Saccharomyces cerevisiae S288C: one gene and its partner. Changing the gene in region 1 together with any one later gene gives a genetic interaction. Each region holds a gene or a part of one and is shown on either strand. Other genes may lie near its edges.

Region 1 (5,138 bases):
GAATGATCCGACATTGTCTCTGTCTAGTTTTCTCTTGCTTCTTTGACTAAAAAAAAAAGTGACTGATAAAAGATCCAGAAATAAAGAGTTCCCGATATTTAGTATATGATCTCGTTGCAAGGGTGCGAAGAACCAATTTCAGATTATTGGATTTTTCTCTTCTATAGACCAAGATTATTTTTGAAAACTGGTGACTCAAGGCATACGAGCAGAAAGAAACATCAAGATCAAATGAGGTACCCTTTATATATAGAACACATTACTTGATAGTATATTCTGCACACATAAAAAAAAAAAAGAAAATGACAATGTTCAACGTTAAATTTTTCTTCCTTTTTCTTTAGGGAATTCCTACGATCGTTTCCTTTTAAAGTAAAACTCCCGATACGAAGATTTCTGTGTACCGACGGACGGAAATCTCGAATGGCTCTACTGTGAGACGGCTTCATAGCGACATAGACGGAAGGGTTTGCTTCCTTCCTTCCTTCCGCGTCCGCATCCGTTTCCGCATCCGCCTTCCGTATCCGCTTTTCGCTCGGTGCTTCTCTTTCCACGGAAAATCCTGCTCCTGCTCCATGGAACCAAAGCAACGGGGTCTGGCGGAACCTATAATCCGTTGTGACCGGGCCCGCATAAGGAATTCTCGGCTCTTAAAATAATCTATCCTGCGCAGAAAATACTGGCTGGCAAAAAAGAAATACTAAATCAGACTCCTTGTCTTTACGTTGGCTATGTAGTCCAAGCTTGGCAGTACTACTGGTGCCTGGTTATAAGATTGATTTTTGTGACTCTTGCGGAAAGGTTCGCCGAGCAGGGACCCTGGATGAAAAAATTTCTTGATGAGGCATCAGTATAAATCACTAGGGGGCTGTACATGCATGGTCGTTTAAAATCCGACTACGCACATTAACTCTTTTTGGCACTAAAAGCGCTCGGGGTTAAGTGTACCTACCCCTCTCCGGCCGTAAAAAAATGAAGGTAATGTTTTCAATTTTCACCTTTTAGTCATTATTGTTGTTATTGTTATCACTCAAATTAAATAAAAAGAAAGAAACTACTTAGAATAAATACTAACATTAATTGTATTGCGCCCCGCTCGCCTCGAAGTCATAGTGGGCTTGTTTCTCTTTTCAGCCACTTGTATGAAATACTCTGAGGCTGCAGAAAATGCACTATTGTCCTCCATACCCTTGCGTGGTACTCGTTAATCTGTGTTTTTTCTTCTTCGTTTAGTAACTTAGTATTGATCAACTTCCTGCAATAGGGAACCACAGTCATGTTTTCGAATTTCAAGAAGTTACCCTTCTCAGTGGCCTTCTTGATTAACATGTCGCTTTCAATCCTGATACCATACTCACCATCCTTATAATAACCTGGTTCGTTACTTATTATGTTACCCGCTCTTAAGGGGAAATTCATCAGATGTGGCCTAAAGCCGACACCCATGGGTCCTTCGTGAACGTTTAAAAATGATCCGATACCATGGCCTGTGCCATGTTTGTAATCTAACCCGCGGGACCATAAAAACTGCCTAGCGATGGCGTCGATATTAAACCCGGGAGTGTTTTCGGGAAAAATCAACCTCTCTAGGGCTAAGCCACCTTTAAGTACCAGTGTGTAATTATCCATTTCTTCTTTGGTTGGCTTTGTTAAGTGAATTGTTCTTGTTATATCAGTTGTACCCTCCAAGAATTGCGAACCGGAGTCGCAAAGATATATCTTGGTAGGATCAATCATCGAAGAGTTCTCTACGGGCGGCGAATAATGTATGATGGCGGCGTTACTACCTGTGGAGGATATTGTTTCGAAGGAATTGCCCATGAAGTTCCTTTGGGTTTTCCTAATCTCGGTCAATTTTTCTGCGGCACGATATTCATCTATCAGTGCCTCGCGCCCCACTAATTGCTGCTCCAGCCATGCAAAATACTGCACTAAACATACTGCGTCTTTGACCTGCGCCTTGTGTGCGTTTTTTATTTCGATGTCATTCTTGATAGATTTCAAAACATCGATGGGTGAGTGAATTATCGCAAAGTTTTGTGCAGTCATTTTTTTAGCTATTGCACCGTTAGCGTTGGTTGAGGTGTTCAAACAACGAACCATCTGCCACGATGCACTATCAGGAATCAAAAATTCATGCTCCGCAGAAGAAGCCTGCGAAGTTATCTTTGTTAAATGTTCCCATATCTGTTCGTAAGGTCTGACTTCAATACCGTTTATCTTAAAATATTCCGATATGTCATCATTGAAGGGGTTATTGGTGAAAAGAATGGTTTCGTCTTCGTTAATAGCCACGTAGGAGAAAAAAACTGGATTATAGTCAATGTCGGATCCACGCAAGTTCAACAACCAACAAATTTCATCCAACGCAACTACTATGAAAGTATTCCTACCGGTCGTCGCAGAGGAAGCCTTATCATTCAGCTTTTTCAGTAACTTTTCCTTCTTGTCTTTGAATTCTTCACCATGAAACTCGTATTTTAACAGTAGTAAATCGTTACAAGGCCTTTCAGGTAGAGTTTCAAAATCAGGCCAAATACTGTCAACTAAGTTTTCCTCCACGGGAACCAGCTCCACTTTACCCTTTGCGTCATATTTAGTGTCAATCATTTTTCTAAAAGAAACATAGTCGTTGAAAGTGATAAGTTTTGGGTCAATACCTATCTTCAACACCATTCCCTCTTTATTGCCAAGTCCCTTGGCCATTTCCAAAGCTTCTCTGACACACCATTCTTGCCAAGTGATTGGGTCTTCGTTTTGCCTCAAAAGTGTCCAATTATAATCTAGTTCTTGTCTAGCTTGATTGAAATATCTTCCATCAGTACTCAAAATGGATTTCCCATCCGGATGGTCATCGTTGAAATTTAACAAGTCTCTGGTGATACAGGCTACACCGGCCGATCCGGAAAACCCTGAAATGAAGGCGCGCCTTTGATCTCGCAATGATACATATTCGGACTGATGTTCGTCACAACTGGGCACAATATAACAACACAAATCGTGTTTCTTCATCTCCTGACGCAACTTCAACAATCTATCAGTAGTGTTAACTTCCCTGTTAACAGCGCATAGAGAGTCACATGAGTAAACAGACCCATTTCCAGCACTGCTACCTCCGCCAGCGCCCTTCAACTCGTTGAGAAGCATGCTGGAGGACCTCCTTGAATTTTCTAACTGTCTTAAAAATAGAGAGGCTCTACGACCTTGCCTAGACAGTAAGCCTGGAGAACACGTACAATCCGCACATGGCCTAAACGGTCTGGGGCTGTGTGATGCCGATGTTCCTCTCATGTGCGTGCCAGGTACATGGGAAATCGAGTGAGCCCTGCCGTCACTGGTGGATGGTTTCGAAGTCATATGAAGATTTTGTTTGTAATTATTGGTTTCGCTCTGTTGAGGTCTCCGTTTTTTTTTTATTCTTTTTTTTTTTAGCTATGCAGTCTTTTTGCCAGTGCTTCCTGCCTTTCCTGTATTTGTAAATATTGCACCTATTAAGACTAAACTGACTCAGTTTTTGTATGTCGCTTCCTTCTTGTTCCATCCCTCATTCGAAGTATTTCTGAAAAAAGAAAACGTAGAAGAAAATTCGGGAAAATGGGGTGCGATTTTTAGGGGTCACCCGGGGATATACCTTCGGGTAACACCAGAAGTCGTCAAAAACAAAACAAAATTAAACTAAACTCTGGCGGCTAAAAGATAATCATAATGCACATAGGGAAAGCTTTCTACCATATTTGAACACTTTAACGGTTAGTTGAAATAATAAGAAATAATTATATGTTTATTTTTACGTGGGTTATAAAGACGGGTAAATTATCTTCGTTATTACTCATGAAAACCTACAAGTAAGCGGCTCAATGGCATTTCGTGGCAGATAATCTTCAGCTATCATTATTATTTTTGAGAGGATGGTTTTTAGGAGCAGTTTGAGGAATAAACAAGAGCTTAATGTACCGTTATACATTTTTAAAAAGCTGTCTTTTTTATTGGGTTCACAGCTCTCATTTTTTTCCATGCAAAATCATTTTTTTAGCCGCCGATGCTTCAAAATGGGTTTAAGATATTTATTGTTTAAATGTTTCTGCATCTGGATTCACTGAAAAAAATTTAGACGCCTAACATGTATTTTGCATTTAAAGGATTATGCGGGAGAAGATTTCTGCCCATTGCCTCTTTTCTTACTATATTGAATAGAATATTATTCCAATACTGGCTTTTTTACAATTCATTAAAAGAGGAAAAGACATTTCAGAAAATTTTCTTCTCTATGAACCTTAAATGTAGGAAAAAAAAGGAACCAAACCACATCATTTACTCTCAACCGCCTTTCTTGTTGGGGTTCATGGTACAATTGCAAAGTTGTGTCAAGTTGTTGCCACTCTATCTTTTGTTTTTGTTACAGGGTAATGGCGCACATTATGCAAGCGCGATGACGAGCAAGGTACTTTCTTTTTTCCTTTAACATTTTGTTGTCCACCGGAAAATAAAAAAAAACAAATAAATGGGTAAGATCAAAAAAGGAATAGAAGCATATGTTTTAAGGGCAACGCCGAATCGTCAAAGAACGGGAGGAAGATCAATACATTAAGTGGAAAAAAAAAGCTCCCGTAATATGGATGAAAAGACAATTAAAAAGTCGATTCTTTCATCTTCCAATGATGAAAAAATAATATACAAATCGCGAATAAAGAAATTTCAAAAGAATCATAAATTTTATATTATTCTATTGGTTTTCATCGCCATTTTACAATTCATATCAATAGCTTTTTTCACTCGGGGATTCTTACTGTCAAGACACGTTCTTGATAATATTTCCTCACAAAACGAAACGAGTAAGTTACCTCCTAGGTTCAACAAGGCGGTGATTTTGGTTATTGACGCTTTGAGATTTGATTTCGCTATTCCTGTAAACGAATCCCACTCTAATTACAACTTGAACTATCATAATAATATATTATCATTGTATGATTCTTTTGCAAGCGATAAGGATGCATCTTCCCTATTGTTGAAGTTCATTGCCGACCCACCAACCACTACTTTACAAAGACTCAAGGGTCTCACAACAGGGTCCTTACCGACTTTCATTGATGCCGGGTCTAACTTCGATGGAACAGTAATCGAAGAGGATAACTTTCTTA
Region 2 (3,447 bases), on another chromosome or scaffold:
GTCCACTGCGACTCCTGAACCAACTGTCGCAGGGGAGGCGTAGAGTTTTGTGATCGGATATTCTGGCGCTGCTGCTGCTGCTGCTGCTGCTTATGATGTTCTTGTTTCAGAACTAGCAATGAAATGGGCATATGATTACCGTCATGTTGCACGTTCGGTTGCACACTTGATTTCGATAGTATTTCTGAGAAACTGTTGGTGCTTTGTTGTTTTAAAGGGTGATGAGGTCGCCTGGTTGGAGACCAGGATATAGAGCTTAGGGACTGCCCCGGGGGGTGTTGTTGTTGCTGCTTCTGATCCTGATATATTACCAGGCCCCTTCTCTTGTGACTCATTTGCTTACACTGTGGCGACTTTTTCCACTTCTTTGTTTATTTGTATTACCGCTTCCTTTTCCTTTTTTCATCTGATTATATGCTTATATATTGTAGACGCAAGTAAAAAAGAACGAAAATAGAAGTCATAATGCTTGTCATACACATTTATATGTTTAATTAATATTATCTACGTAGTCTATCTCTTGAAAAAGAAGTCTGGTTCCGGTGCGACTGGTTTTGATGGCTTAGTAAATAGTTGATATTGTTACCTGACGGCGGAACGCCTGGGGGAGGCATTGACGTGGACGTTGGGAATCGTGTTGAAGTCTGTTCTCGACCGGGCGATCCTGCGTTAGCCTGTTCTATACTCTCTTCCTCCTTTTCTTCAAAGACTGGAAGATCAGTGCCGTTTTGAATGTTGACCCAGGGAAAGAAGCCTGTGCCGAACCAGAAATGTTGCACCACGGGGAACTTCTTCAGAACCTCTACAGAATACATTTTTAGAAGCCCCTTACACACTTTGGACCAGCGTGGAACGGTGACGGCAATATCGTATAGGATGGGGGAATGCTCTTCAAAGGGCCCCATTTTCACCTCATTAATAAAGTTTATGCCTTGGCAGTAGAAGTTGGTGTCCTTATACTCGCGCACCAGAGACTTATCCAGTATTTCTCTTGGTTGCAAGGGTGCTTGCGCATCAAGCAGCTGCCATTGAGACGAGCCCAAGATGTACACCAAGTGGAAATGGTCATCAAGCCCCCACACGCCATGTGACCCAGCGGGCTCCAGCGTATACGTCAGGATCAGCCTCCTCATGATCGTGTAGTACTTGTTGAACAGCAGAAAAACGTCTGCCCCCCTCATGTGCGGAAACATCCCCAGCATGTCCAGTGCTGCGACCGTGGCCATGAACGAAAGTTCGTGGCCCGTGCCGTAGTCCAATCTTGTCGACGAACCAAAGCTGTTGCCCAGGTAATACTGCAATTCAGGCACCACCTCATGGTATTCCGAGGGAAGCATTTCCTGCAGCCACTGAGGCAAACGTTCATCCAGCTTGTGATGCCACTCGCGGCATGCTAGGTTACCATACCTTCTAGGACCTGGAAGAGGCGGTGTCTCGTCGATCAGGTGTGCCAGCTTGTCCAACACTCCCATCAGCCCGTTAACCATGGCGATCGACGACGCAGTAGCGTGCGGGTCGGGGTCAGAACAGTGCGATATCAACGTAGTGTACTTGTGAAGATGATACTTGATTCTGTGAATGGCTAGTGACGATTGGAAGTCCAGCGTTGTCTGCGTATCGAAGATACGCTTCACCGGCGTAGAGAAGGTGGCGTGCGGCCAATCTACACGATCCAGAGACATTTCTTTGCTCGTTTAATGCTTGTTCATATGTGCGTTCTTTTGCACTTTGCACTTTCTTCCTATTTTATCTTTTTAAGAAAGCTTTAAAGGTCCGGAAAAAAGGCTTGATCAAACACAAGAGACTATGGAAAGGGTGAGTACCAAAAGAACCAACAAGAGAAACAACCAAGTACGCAATGCAGAAGAGCATATTGCTGACTAAACCTGACGGAACACAATCGAATCTACACAGCATCAAAACGGAAACGCCCACCACGGTGGAGTTCGACTCGGAGCAGATGGAAAGGGGCCACAGGGAAAGAGGTCGTAGCAAGAAGAAAAGAGGCGAACGAGACTCAAACGTGAGCAGTCTGTCGCGGTCGAGAAGCAGGGCCAGTAGCCGCAGCAGAGTAAGGGAGGAAGAGTTCCTCAAGTGGACCGTGTTGAGGCAGGACCCCTCGATGCGGTTGAGGGTCGTGGATGTGGATTCTGAAGAGGAAGGTGAGGGCAACGACGAAGATGACGACGACGGCGACGGCGACGATATGGACGAGGAAGAGTCCGATGAAGAGCAAGTGAGCGATATAGAGAACGATTTAGAGATTGACGAGGAGTTCCACTACGATCTGGGCATGAAAGTGTTACCCAACTTTTGTACCAGCATAAACGAAGTGCTAGACTCCAGCAAGCCCTGGATAGCCAAGTACGAGATCAGCATCCGTGGCCACGAAAACGAAGACGTGTCTCTGGAGCAACTCGACGGAGGCTACGTCAGAGCCATGCAACTACTCACCAAGGGTGCCGGCGCAGAGGCCGGGAACCAAAGGTCCTTCATCCTCTACACGGACCTGAGCAGCGAGTCCACCTACGCCCTGACCTATCTCATGGGCGCAGCTGTCAACCAGGGAGACACCGTCTACATTGTCCACTGGGAGCCCTCGAAGCCCACGGACGACTCCCAGATGTTCGCCAACGTTGCCAGAATCAGAAAGCACGTCATGCACCTGTTTGACTGCGTCGCGGGCGTGCTCGACGACCTCGACGTCGTCGTCCTCTCCTTGACCCATCCGTACCCAAAACACCTCCTCAACGAGATGATCCACGGCCTCAAGCCAGTCGCCCTGTGCTGCTCCCTCTCGGTCATCCTGTCCACTCTGCAGAACTTCGTCTGCTCTGTGCCCATCCTCGCGGTTAGAAAGAAGCTGAAACGTGCCAAGCGCAAGGGCATCAGCGAGTGACCAATAATCACTGCACTAATTCCTTTTTAGCAACACATACTTATATACAGCAACAGACCTTATGTCTTTTCTCTGCTCCGATACGTTATCCACCCAACTTTATTTCAGTTTTGGCAGGGGAAATTTCACAACCCCGCACGCTAAAAATCGTATTTAAACTTAAAAGAGAACAGCCACAAATAGGGAACTTTGGTCTAAAGCAAGGACTCTCCCTCCCTTATCTTGACCGTGCTATTGCCATCACTGCTACAAGACTAAATACGTACTAATATATGTTTTCGGTAACGAGAAGAAGAGCTGCCGGTGCAGCTGCTGCCATGGCCACAGCCACGGGGACGCTGTACTGGATGACTAGCCAAGGTGATAGGCCGTTAGTGCACAATGACCCGAGCTACATGGTGCAATTCCCCACCGCCGCTCCACCGCAGGTCTCTAGACGAGACCTGCTGGACCGTCTGGCCAAGACGCATCAATTCGACGTGTTGATCATCGGTGGCGGGGCCACGGGGACAGGATGTGCCCTAGATGCTGCGACCAGGGGACTCAAT

Evidence for each region. Genes that interact genetically often act in the same process or in processes that back each other up.
Region 2: mutations in FRA1 (region 1) and RRD1 together harm fitness more than expected from each alone (negative genetic interaction), as found in Saccharomyces cerevisiae (2 studies listed by BioGRID).

Annotation. Positions count from the first base shown.
Region 1 is NC_001144.5:79,680-84,817, reverse strand, and holds FRA1 (aminopeptidase P), read right to left. Parts: upstream 3,358-5,138; coding exon 1,108-3,357; downstream 1-1,107. Other genes in the region: polyamine transporter TPO1, read right to left, coding at 1-14; RRT7 (Rrt7p), read left to right, coding at 4,121-4,462; mannose-ethanolamine phosphotransferase GPI13, read left to right, coding at 4,613-5,138. UniProt on the Saccharomyces cerevisiae protein: Involved in the regulation of the iron regulon in responss to decreased mitochondrial iron-sulfur cluster synthesis.
Region 2 is NC_001141.2:53,433-56,879, reverse strand, and holds RRD1 (peptidylprolyl isomerase RRD1), read right to left. Parts: upstream 1,683-3,447; coding exon 501-1,682; downstream 1-500. Other genes in the region: VPR1 (Vpr1p), read right to left, coding at 1-335; IMP21 (Imp21p), read left to right, coding at 1,859-2,899; GUT2 (glycerol-3-phosphate dehydrogenase), read left to right, coding at 3,172-3,447. UniProt on the Saccharomyces cerevisiae protein: PPIases accelerate the folding of proteins. It catalyzes the cis-trans isomerization of proline imidic peptide bonds in oligopeptides.